Oryctolagus cuniculus: one gene and its partner. Each later gene encodes a partner of the first gene's protein in a complex. Links are inferred from orthologs where the notes say so. Each region holds a gene or a part of one and is shown in the gene's direction. Other genes may lie near its edges.

What was found. The genes of interacting proteins can lie anywhere in the genome.
Region 2: GTF2A1 (region 1) and POLR2C share a complex: the UniProt entries of both Homo sapiens proteins name them as parts of the TBP-based Pol II pre-initiation complex. The link is inferred for Oryctolagus cuniculus from reciprocal best matches to the Homo sapiens genes GTF2A1 and POLR2C.

Annotation. Positions count from the first base shown.
Region 1 is NC_091451.1:27,040,030-27,045,887, reverse strand, and holds part of GTF2A1 (transcription initiation factor IIA subunit 1), read left to right. Parts: intron 1-2,024; coding exon 2,025-2,229; intron 2,230-3,783; exon of another isoform or gene 3,784-3,927; intron 3,928-4,355; coding exon 4,356-4,420; intron 4,421-5,858. UniProt on the Homo sapiens protein: TFIIA is a component of the transcription machinery of RNA polymerase II and plays an important role in transcriptional activation. TFIIA in a complex with TBP mediates transcriptional activity.
Region 2 is NC_091449.1:41,014,616-41,020,099, forward strand, and holds the start of POLR2C (DNA-directed RNA polymerase II subunit RPB3), read left to right. Parts: upstream 1-1,476; 5' UTR 1,477-1,566; coding exon 1,567-1,652; intron 1,653-1,815; coding exon 1,816-1,865; intron 1,866-3,503; coding exon 3,504-3,572; intron 3,573-3,710; coding exon 3,711-3,763; intron 3,764-4,237; coding exon 4,238-4,366; intron 4,367-4,715; coding exon 4,716-4,767; intron 4,768-4,943; coding exon 4,944-5,112; intron 5,113-5,209; coding exon 5,210-5,284; intron 5,285-5,484. UniProt on the Homo sapiens protein: Core component of RNA polymerase II (Pol II), a DNA-dependent RNA polymerase which synthesizes mRNA precursors and many functional non-coding RNAs using the four ribonucleoside triphosphates as substrates.

The DNA of each region.
Region 1 (5,858 bases):
TGCATGTCTTGATACTGGAATTTCAGTGAGCTCAGTCACTAGATCACTACCATTTGCAGTAGTACTGGTGGGAAGAAAAGATCAGGCCATAAAAGTAAGAATAGACAAACTGCTTTGTGAGGGGAATTGATAGTGATAATGGGATTTTACATTGGATTCTGGCTCCTAGGTTGTTGGAGTGGGAGGGTAGGTGAGTTATAGTACCTAACACTAAGCCATATATCATAGGCACTCATTAATATTTGTCATGCTCATGAAAGCCACATTGCAGTGTATAGACCAATTGGAGGTGATAGAAGTCAAACATTAAAAACTGTTTCTTAACAAGGCATTAATAATACTGTTTTTTAATTTTATTATTTTTAGCTCACAGGAAACTAGGTATTGTTTTGGAAGAGGAGAATAGATGTAGGTTTGAGTGATGGCAGAGTAAAAGCCTTACTTTATGTTCATACTTTTTTGACTCATAAGTGGTTATTTTGACCATGTGCTACACATGCCTACTTTGCTAAGGTGAACAAGGCATAGTCTGGGCTCTCAAAAAGTCATGCTTTGTAACCACAACAAGATGATAACAGTGTTTAATCTAGGATTTGAAGAGACTTAGATTTATTAACTGAAATTGAATTTAGATGTAATGTAATTCCATTTATCCACTTTTTCTTGAGAAAAATGCCTAAGAAAGATAAATGATTTGGCCGCAATCATTTATATTTTATATACACATCATACATGTAGCCTGAAAGTAATTTTATCCAATATTTTAAGTAATTTTGTGCAATAAACAAAGAATGGATTTTCCATTTGTAGTATAATGTTTATGCTCACAAAGTTTCAGATTTTGGCTTGTTTTGATTTTTAGATTAGGTAAGCTCAATCTGTAGAAATGGCTCCACAGAAAAGATCTATCCCTTGGCATAATGGAAAAAGAGAAATTTCATTAGTGTAGAGGGTTGGGCAAAAAATCTCTCTAAGACGTTCAAGTATGCTGTTTGTTTTTTCTTTACTTAGAATTGACAGAAGAGTTCCTTGGGTCATTGTTGTGGTGTGTTGCTGCCTCCAATGCTGGGGGCCTGTATGAGCTCTTGTTCATGTCATGGATGTTCCATCTCAGATCCCGCTTCAAGCTAAAATGCCTGGGAAAGCAGCAGAGAATGGCCCACGTGCTTGGGCCCCTGCCTCCCACATGGGAGACTTGGATGAAGCTCCTGGTTCCTGGCTTCATCCTGCCCTGGCTGTTGCAGTCACTTAGGGAGTGATCCAGTGTATGGAAAATCCTTCTCTCTGTGTCTCCCTCTTTTTCTGTAACTCTGCCTTTCAAATAAATAAATAAATCTTTTTTTTTTTTTTTTTAAAGGGGGCAAACAACAGAGTTTCTGAGTACTGTGAAGGATTGTGGTGCATTGGTTTAAGCCCCTGCCTGCAATACCAGAATCCCAAATCAGAGCGCTGATTGGAATCCCAGCTGCTCTGCCTCCAATCCAGCTCACTGCTAGTGCACGTGGGAAAGCAGTGAAGATGACCCATGCCACCTATGCGGGAGACCTGGATAGAGTTCCAGGATTCTGGCTTAGGCCTGGTCCAGTCCTGGCCATTACTGCCAGTTGGGTAGTGAATCAGTAGATAGAAGATCTCTGTCTCTGTCACTGTGCCTTTCAAATAAATAAAATTCTTGAAGAGAAGAATTCCATAAAGATAGTTTCATAATGGTTCTGATACTACAAAGGATAATCTTTTTCTGAAACTCTGTGCTATATAATAGCTGATGATTAAAGAGTTGCTATGAAAAGATGGTTGAAGATAAAAACAAAAATTTCTTTAGGTTGCTAAAGTGGCAAAGAGGAAGTTTGATACTTTAAAAAATTGTTTTCATTATCCTTTGCACTTAGATGAGATTTGAGGTTATATTTTTGTGCTATGTAAGTTTTTAAATGGAAGAATTCCATAAATAGCTAGTAAAAATATGTTTGACCATGTATTGAGTTATTTTTTCATTTTTAAACTTTTAATGTTGTTTGCATTAGTTGTGGGAGAATAAACTAATGCAGTCTAGAGCAGTAGATGGATTTCATTCAGAAGAGCAACAACTTTTATTGCAAGTTCAACAGCAACATCAACCCCAGCAGCAACAGCATCACCACCACCACCACCATCAGCAAGCTCAGCCTCAGCAGACAGTACCTCAGCAAGCCCAGACCCAGCAGGTCCTTATTCCTGCATCACAGCAAGGTGAGACTAGATCTGTTTTCCTAACTACTTGGAAATTAAGTTGGTCATTTTAAAAGACTAGAAATACTCTAGGTCACTTGGATCTTGTTTTTAAAAGGTATTTCATAAACCTAAAAAAAAAAGTACTGATTTTGTTTTTCCCTTTTCTATGTATGTTTTTATGTATATAAATTTGTATAAAATGTGAGTCCTATTTGTAGAATAGTGATAGACAAATAATTACCTGATTGAAACCCTAAAATAGTATTCAGATACTTGTACTAATGTTTTTTAGGAAGTACATATAGTGGTGGCTTTCCTAAAATTTAAGTCAGATTTATAATTTTTTTTTAACTAAGATTTCATTGTTTTATATAGTAAAGTAGTTATTTCTTCATGAAACATTTTCCTTCAAAGGGATATTGGTGTTGTTTTTATGTCTTAAATCCTGAGTTTTGAACCATATGTTGGCATTCTGAAAATTCAGTACCATGGTAATTTCTGTGTCTAAATTAACAATTAAATTTCTTTTATGTGAATAGTTGATCTATATATCTTGATGTATATTATTACTCTGTTTAAAGGTATGAACAATGCACAATGCAAAACTATTTGTTTTTCATTTATTTTTAACTGAAAGGCTGAGAGAGAGAAAGGGAGAGAGAGATCCTTCTATCTACTGGTTTATTGTCCAAATGCCTGCAACAGTGTGGGCTGGGACAGCCTGAAACCAGGAGCTTGGAACTCAATCCAGTTCTCTCTTATGGGTGGCGGGTGCCTAAGTACTTGAGTCATCACCTGCTATCTCCTAAGAAAGATGAGGCTTCATTTTGACTCCTTTTAGGAACTCTATGAAATAGTTCTTAGCTCCATTGCTTCATAGCTGAGGCAAATCTGGGCCTTAAAAAGGCTGAGAAGCATGATCCATTATATGTAGCAAATATTTTCTGTCATAACAACTATGTTCAATTAAAAACTTACTAAGTATTCTAATTCAGTGAATCTTGATTGTTATTGGAGAAGAAGGTAAATGAAAAGCTTGTTTTAAGGTAACCATTTAGTTAACCTACATATATATGTGTATGACTTGAAATTGATAGTGAAGGGCAAGCATTGTGGAGCAGCCAGGTTAAACTGCTGCTTTTAATGCCTGCATACCACATCAGAGTACTGGTTGAAGTTCTGACTGACTGCTCTGCTTCTGATCCAGCTTCCAGCTAATGCACCTGAAAAGGCAGGAGATAATGGCCCAAGTACTTAAGTCCCCGCCACCCACTTGAGAAATCTGGATGGAGTTTTAGGTTCATGATTTCAGTCTTGTTCAACCCTGGCTATTGTAGGCATTTGAGGAGTGAACAGTGAATTCACAGTCTCTCTCTGTTTTTTTTTCTCTCTCTCTCTTTCAAATATATACATATATACATACATAATTCTTTTAAAAAAAGTGAAAAAAATGATAGTGATACACAGTGGAAAGGTCTTTTTGGGTTGTTTTGCTGTTTATATAAAGTAAGATTTAATATCTGCTTTAAATCTATCCTTTGTTATCAAATATTTTTAACTCTTAATCTTTTCTGATGACTGTTCCTCCTAATGCTTTCAAGCCTGGCATTAGGATTTTAGGTCATCATAAATTAAAATTTGATTTTCTTCACTCAGAGATTATGTGGATAATGGGATTGTCTGTCTGTTCTCTGAAATTTGCGGAATCAAACATTTAATGCCTTTTACACTTAAGTAACATCACCATTATTTTCAATTTCTACTTTTCGAACAATTAGTAACATCCTAGCAACTGTCAAATTGGGAGAAAAGGATTGTAGATTAAAAAAAGTAGTTATAACTGAATTTTGTTCCTAATGAATTAGTAGCTGTTGTGATAAGTATTTCATTTCCTCATCTTACTGAATTCCTTTGCAACCTTCAAATTTATCACTTAAATACTTAAATATTGATGTTTTCTGTTATGATACAGTTATACTAGAGCTTTAAATGCTGTAAAATGTATAACATTTTGAAGTATCAAGGGGTTGAGGGCATTTAAATGCAGAAAAAGTTTTCAGCATTAAATAACATACTTGTGATTATGAAATAGCCTTAGGGTTCCTTGTTTCCATGTGTGTTTATTTGATTTAATTATTTTGTAGCCACGGCACCTCAAGTTATTGTTCCTGATTCTAAGCTGATACAGCACATGAATGCATCAAACATGGTAAGACTCATAGTGTAGCACTTTGATTGGCTTTGCGTCTTCTAACTCAGATAGGGATCTTGCCTGGGTATGTTGTATATTAACAACTTGAAGTTTATTGAAGACTTGAACAAGACAGATATTTTATTTAGTTTCTTATATATTGTATTTAGCAGCAGATCTAAAGTTTAACTTGGTATTTCAGCATTAAGCTTCATAAAATTACGTAATTTTCTGTTTAAAAAGTACCAAAAGGTGTTTTATGGGAGCTCTTTTATCCCTGTTTGTTTAAAACTGGGTAATTCCCAATTCGAAGATACTCAGTAAAAATAGTTTTGATTTTTCTAATGGTGCTGTGTGCTATAGAAATCAACATTTTGAAAAAATATGTGATTTCATGAAAATGTGGTATGGTAATATAATTAATCAGAAAGATATTTCAAGGAATTTATATCATCAAACTAATTTTCCTGGTTCTTTTTTTGAAATGATGTAGTGTATTCATATTTGGGCTGTTTAATGAAATAGAAGAAAAAATTTTTAGTAGTCATTAAGTGAAAGATGGTTTCCTTATGGTATATCATTTCACAAATATTTATTCAGCTATTTGAGTATGTAGAAAGTGTGCAGCTGGTTACTGTGTCATGTTTATGCTAGTAGAAACTACTATGTCAGTTTGCCAGTAGAGGGAGAACTATTATCTTGCAAAACGTGAACGATAGGCCTTTTATGTTTGTAAATAATACTTGTCAACGATAAGTGCTAATACGTTCATTAAATTTGGATTACCTTTTTGTTTTGCTATATAGACAAAATTTATTTTATATTGAATAGTTGGGTATGTAGCTTAAAGATGAATGAATCTAGTAGACTGTAACAGGGAATTTCAGGCTCAAGATGTAGCAGCTACTTAGGACGTCAGGTGGCAACAGTAAGCATATTTTATTGGAAAGCTGTACTTAGAGCCTTAGATGGTAGTTAACCCAGTTTAGTATGATTTTCCAAGTTTGATTGAATTTTCTGGCCATTAACACTTCCAGAACACAGTTTTATTTGTTCCTCTAAGCTTATCCAAATTAGGAGTATTTGTAAAAATATATAAGCAGGCTGGCGCCGCGGTTCACTAGGCTAATCCTCCGCCTGCGGCGCTGGCACCCCGGGTTCTAGTCCCGGTCGGGGCACCGGATTCTGTCCTGGTTGCCCCTCTTCCAGGCTAGCTCTCTGCTGTGGCCAGGGAGTGCAGTGGAGGATGGCCCAAGTGCTTGGACCCTGCACCCCATGGGAGACCAGGAGAAGTACCTGGCTCCTGCCATCGGATCAGCGCGGTGCGCCGGCCGCGGCGGCCATTGGAGGGTGAACCAACGGCAAAGGGAGACCTTTCTCTCTGTCTCTCTCTCTCTCACTGTCCACTCTGCCTGTCAAAAAAAAAAAGTTTTAAAATCTTAAAATTTAGGAATTA
Region 2 (5,484 bases), on another chromosome or scaffold:
CAGCGGCCACCTGGAGACCACAGGGCACCTGACGATCGGGCCACTTCTGCAGTCCTGACACCTGGCCACGCTCAGTGCATCCTGCCTTGCGGCTTGTGATGGGAGAAATGAGACTCCCCGGGCGCTCAGCCAGCACGTCCCTGCATGGTCTCACGGGCTCCCTTGTGTCATAACCTTCCTTGAAACGGTTTTGGGGGCTGCTAAGGCTGAGTCAAGGCTGGTATCCACCGGATGGTGGCAGCTCACTGCCAGCACGCTGCAGGCATCCTGAGATGTTCCCGGGGACCCCTCAGAGAGCTGCCTCCCCAGAGACAGGTGCCTGCTGGACACTGAGAGGCGTGGCCCAGGCCTGGTGTCGCATCACTCCAGCACGCACTGCGGGATTGTTAGTGTATTCAGAACCTGTAAAAATTATAATAAATGTTTGAGGCTGCTTCCTTTTATGTAGTTTGTTTCCATATAGACTGTGATAGATGTCCCCAGCGGGAGTTCTGGCCCTGGCTCTGCCTAATACATGCTGGGGGGTTGGACAACTCTGCCTCTGAACCAGGTCTTCCCATCAGTAAAATGGGGGCAGTGGGGCCTTCCCCAGACACCTTGCTCCCTTGGCCCCTCTTGTCTGTCACCATTTTAGTGATAGGTTCGTCAGTGTCAGTAATCTCAGCCTGTGCACCACCTGGGCTCCCTTGCACATCTGCTTTGCTCTGGCCCACGTCTGCCAAATACTGATAGAGGAGTCAGAAGTGGACGCATTTCAGATCCCTGTGGGCCTTCCCCGGGCCCCGCGCCTCTCTGGTTACTCCCTGATACCTGTGAGGCTCCTGCAGCAGCTACCCACGTTTCATCGCATTCATCACATCCATGTTACACTCAGGAGATGACCGTAATTCTTAACCTACTGAGATGACAGGCAGGCAAGAACCGCCTCCTGCCCTTCCTGTGTCTCAGGAAGAGGTGCGCCTGCTGCTAAGGTGAACCCCTTCCTGGGTACTCTACTGCAGCCACATTCCATTTTAGGGTCTCTAGAGCCTTTTACGGAAGTGTCCACAAGTGCGCGACCCGGACTTGAGGGTGGAAGGGAAGGACATACACCATCATTGAGAGATGCTTTGCTGAAAGTTGCCACGCATTGTTTCCCATGGGTGTTCAAATTCACATCATCCTCAAAGGCCTCATGGTATGCCTATATGTATCTATTTAACCAGGTCTCTATGCATAGACCAGTCTTGTTTACCTTTTGCTATTACAGTACTGTCTTGAATGTCCCTGTAGCTTTGTTTACAACTGCAAACATCTTGGCAGAATGAATTTTTAGACGTATTATTGTTGATTCAAGGGCATATGCAGGTCTTGCCAAGTTACCTTGCAAGTTGGGTGAGACTGGTGGTGGGGTGGGGAGTAGAAAATGCGGGCCATGGTGCAGCCGCAGCCTCCCAGCGGCAGGGGGCGCTGCTCGCGCGTCTCGGCGGAAGCTGCGGGGGCCGCGCTGTCCGGCTTCCGGTGACAGAGCCGCGCAGGCGCGACGGGGGCGACGCGAGGGGCCGGCTAGGAGGCCTCAGGGGCGCGATGCCGTACGCTAATCAGCCCACGGTGCGCATCACCGAGCTCACTGACGAGAACGTCAAGTTCATCATCGAGAATACGGACCTGGCGTAAGGCTGCTGAGGGGAGAGGCTGGCGGCCCTGCCGAGCCGGCCCGAAGGGTGGGGGTGCCCTCCCACGGCGGCCACCGTGCCAGGGCTTTAGCTTTGGGAGCCCGGGGCCGGCCTGTCGGGGCTGCGGCGCCCTCACGCCTCTCGCTTTCTCGTCCTTCAGGGTGGCCAATTCTATCCGGAGGGTCTTCATCGCGGAGGTGCCTATAATAGGTAAGCGAGCCCCGCCGCACCCTACCGGGACCACTGGTTCCCCGGCTTCCCAAGGCCCCACGCACCTGTGCCGCCTCCAGGCCTGGCTTGGGGGTGGAGGTGCCGAGGCTGGGTCGCACCCGGTGCCTCTGGCCCGGCTGCCCCGTTGGCCACTTCGGCCCCCCTGCCGTGTGCCTCGCGGAGCAGCACGGGTTCGGCAGGGGCTGCCCTGGGCTCCGATGCGGTTTCCACGCGCGCGCTCGGTGGAACTTAGGCAAGTCGTGACCCTTCTGTGTGCTGCTGGTTCTCATCGGAGACATTGGACGCTGGTGTTACTCACCAGGCCGACGGCGGGGACCAGTGAGTGAGCGATTCTGATGGATGTGCACGGGGCTCGAGGACCTCGCAGCAGCGGCCCGCAGGGGTGGGAGGGCCTCTGGCCTCTGTGCCCCAGTGTTTTCTGCGTTGACTGTGCTTGTGTAAAATACCAGGGGTGTTTTGTGTCAGCTCAGTGAGTTTGCGTTTGGCAAAAGAGATGTTGTGGCTGCTGCATCAAGTGTTCAGACTCTGAAGGAAGCGGCACACACCAGCTGCTTGCTAAAGCCGCCGCCTCCGCCCCCCGTCGCCTCAGCCCCGCTGGGCCTCGGTGGGCCCCGCTTTTCACATTCTCAGCTCTGCAAATGCGCACCCATGCTGGGCAAACAAAGGCAGCTCAGACCCGGCCTCAAGGAATTCTCCAAGCCTGCGGTGGGGATGAGACACAAATCCGACACTGAGCAAAGCATGACCGCTGTGCTAAGGGGAGTCAGAGCTGGCCTTGTCCGAGCGGGGTTCAGAGGCCGGGGGTGCTCACGGCTCAGTCTGAAGCGCAGGCGGGACTCGGGTTTTAGGCTCGGGGGATTTGGAGCTGCACGAGGAAGGAAAGTGCGGGCCAGGAAGCAGCCGGGGTCCGGGGGTACGTGAAGAGGCAGAGGGGCCTGGGTTGGGGCCTGAGACGACTGGTCCCCTTCTGACCTCTGCTCCCAGCGGCCATGCCCCCCCTGGCAGCTGGGCAGCAGCCCTGTTTGATTTCGGCGTTTGTATGAATGAGTGAGTAAAGTGGGGTTGAAGTCACGTGGGTGTGAGACAGTCCTCACCGTGCTGCCAGCTCGTTGCTGGCAAGGACCGGTTTCTCTGTAAGCTGCCTGGTTCCTGACAGGACGCAGTAACCTGTGTCGGCTGAGTGATGAGGAAATGCTCGTTGGGTGGGCCAGCGTTACATCCTAAGACGCGGTTCCTGCTGTCGGCCTGTTCGTTGTTCGTGAGTTTCCCTCATCGCAGTGGCTGAATCGTTTGTGTTCCTGGCTGTTTGGCACTGGCACAGGTGGCAGATACATTGGCTTCTCACAGAAATCGGCAGCAGGTGTGCCTGCTGCGGTGAGGCGCTCTGAGCCGGCGTTCCCGTGTGGTCCAGGAAGCCCCTGCCTGAACTCCCCCCCGGGCGGGCAGGGGCCGCGGTGCCTGCGTGGTGCCTGAGCCCTGCCCGGTGCTGCTGCAGTCAGTCCCCGGCCGCCCGGCCTGGCCCGGCCCGGGCATTCCTGAATCTTGGCACTCACTGCCCTGAGCTTTGGGGAATTTGGTTGCTGAATGAAGTCTCACCTCCGCCCCTTCTCGTTTTAGCCATTGACTGGGTTCAGATCGATGCCAACTCCTCCGTCCTGCATGACGAGTTCATCGCGCACCGGCTCGGTGAGTGCTGCTCTGGGGGAGGTGAAGGGACGGTGCGGCCGATGCCGCAGGAGGCCTCCCCACCGCGGGGCGCCTGTGGGCTCTCGTTTTGGGCATGGCTGTCTGGCTGCCTTGAAAGCGCGGGTCTGTGTCTTACAGGCTTGATTCCTCTCACGAGCGACGACATCGTGGACAAGTTGCAGAACTCCCGGGTATGCTGCGAGAGTGGCTGTGTGTGGCTCGGGTAGGGGCTTAAGGGCCCACAGGACTTGTCCTTGGCATCTGGCTGCCAGCATGGACTGCGCCGTGGTTGTAGGGAGACGGCGGAGATGTTGTCCAGAGCCCGAGGCAGGTGTCTTTGGGCTTGGTGCTGATGAGGATCCCATTGGTTATGTCCGTCTGGAAGTCTCAGGAGCCAGTCCCACAGAGGGGCAGCCACCAGGGGGCCTGCCTGTGCAGCACAGGGGCTGTTGCTTCCACAGCACCACCACCACCCCTGCCCCGGGGTCGGGGGGCAGAGGCACAGAGGTTGGTGTAGGTGCGGGCAAGGAGCAGAGGGGCTGGGCGCTGTCTCACAAGAGCAGCACCCCCTGCACGCAGGCAGCGGCTCAGGGAGCGGGCCGAGCAGGCAGCTGTGGGGCTTCCCGGCTCTCCGTGGGCTCCTTCCAGCTTCCCTCTCCGCTCAGGACTGCACCTGTGAGGAGTTCTGCCCCGAGTGCTCGGTGGAGTTCACCCTGGACGTGCGGTGTAACGAAGACCAGACTCGCCACGTCACGTCCCGAGACCTCATCTCCAACAGCCCCCGCGTCATCCCGGTCAGTGTCTGGAGCGCCCCCTCCCCCGGGGCTCTGCCGTGGCCGGCTTTGGCGGCCGGAGGGCTCGGGTCCCGGTCTGATGCCTACCAGCCTGGTGCTGGTTTCTGCTCGGGCAGCAGCAGCACTGGGGCTGGCAGCTGCTGGGGTGAGAGAAGCGGCCGCTGATGATGCAGTTTAGGTTTTCTTTGTGTCCGTCACCCAAGGGCCCTCCGAGAGGCCGGGGTCTTGACCACACCATGGAGCAGGCCCCTCCGCCGGCCCCTCTCGCATCCCGCGCTTGCGCAGAGTGCAGTCTGGAGGTGCTGTGGGAGGAGCAGCTGACAATTGCCTGGGTTTGGGCTCCCTACAGGTGACGTCCCGGAATCGAGACAATGACCCCAACGACTACGTGGAGCAGGACGGTAAGGGCTGGAGAGCGTGCGTGCGTCACCTTTGATAGAGCCTCTCCTGCCGCCCGAACTCGTGTAAAGTGGCCGAGGGCCCGTGTTTGCGTCGCGTGTCACCCTCAGCGGCACTGTCGGTCCACGCGGGGAGAGCCACGCTCCTGGCCGGGACTGACTCGCACCTCTCCTCGCAGACATCCTCATCGTCAAGCTGAGAAAGGGCCAGGAGCTGAGACTCCGAGCCTACGCCAAAAAGGGCTTTGGCAAGGAACACGCCAAGTGGAACCCCACCGCGGGGGTTGCTTTCGAGTACGATCCAGACAATGCCCTGAGGCACACGGTGTACCCCAAGCCCGAGGAATGGTATGCTCCAGGGGGAAGGCGGGTGTGCAGAGGGCTGCTGGTGCCGGAGGTGGGGCAGGCGGTCTGGGAACAGCAGCCTCTGCTTCTCTGACCTCAGGCCAAAGAGCGAGTACTCCGAGCTGGATGAGGATGAGTCTCAGGCTCCCTATGACCCCAACGGCAAGCCCGAGAGGTGAGACCTGGTCGCACGGGGGGCGGGGTCTTAGTGCATGGCATCTGCCGCAGGCTCAGTCATCAGCCGAGGGGCCGCTGCTGCTCACCACTGAACTAAAGTAGTGCTGTGTGCACATGCCCTCTGGTTACGAGAAAGGGGCTCTCCACTCACCCAGATGGTTCCCATTCTGATTTCCAGCCCCTAGTGTGCAGACTGTT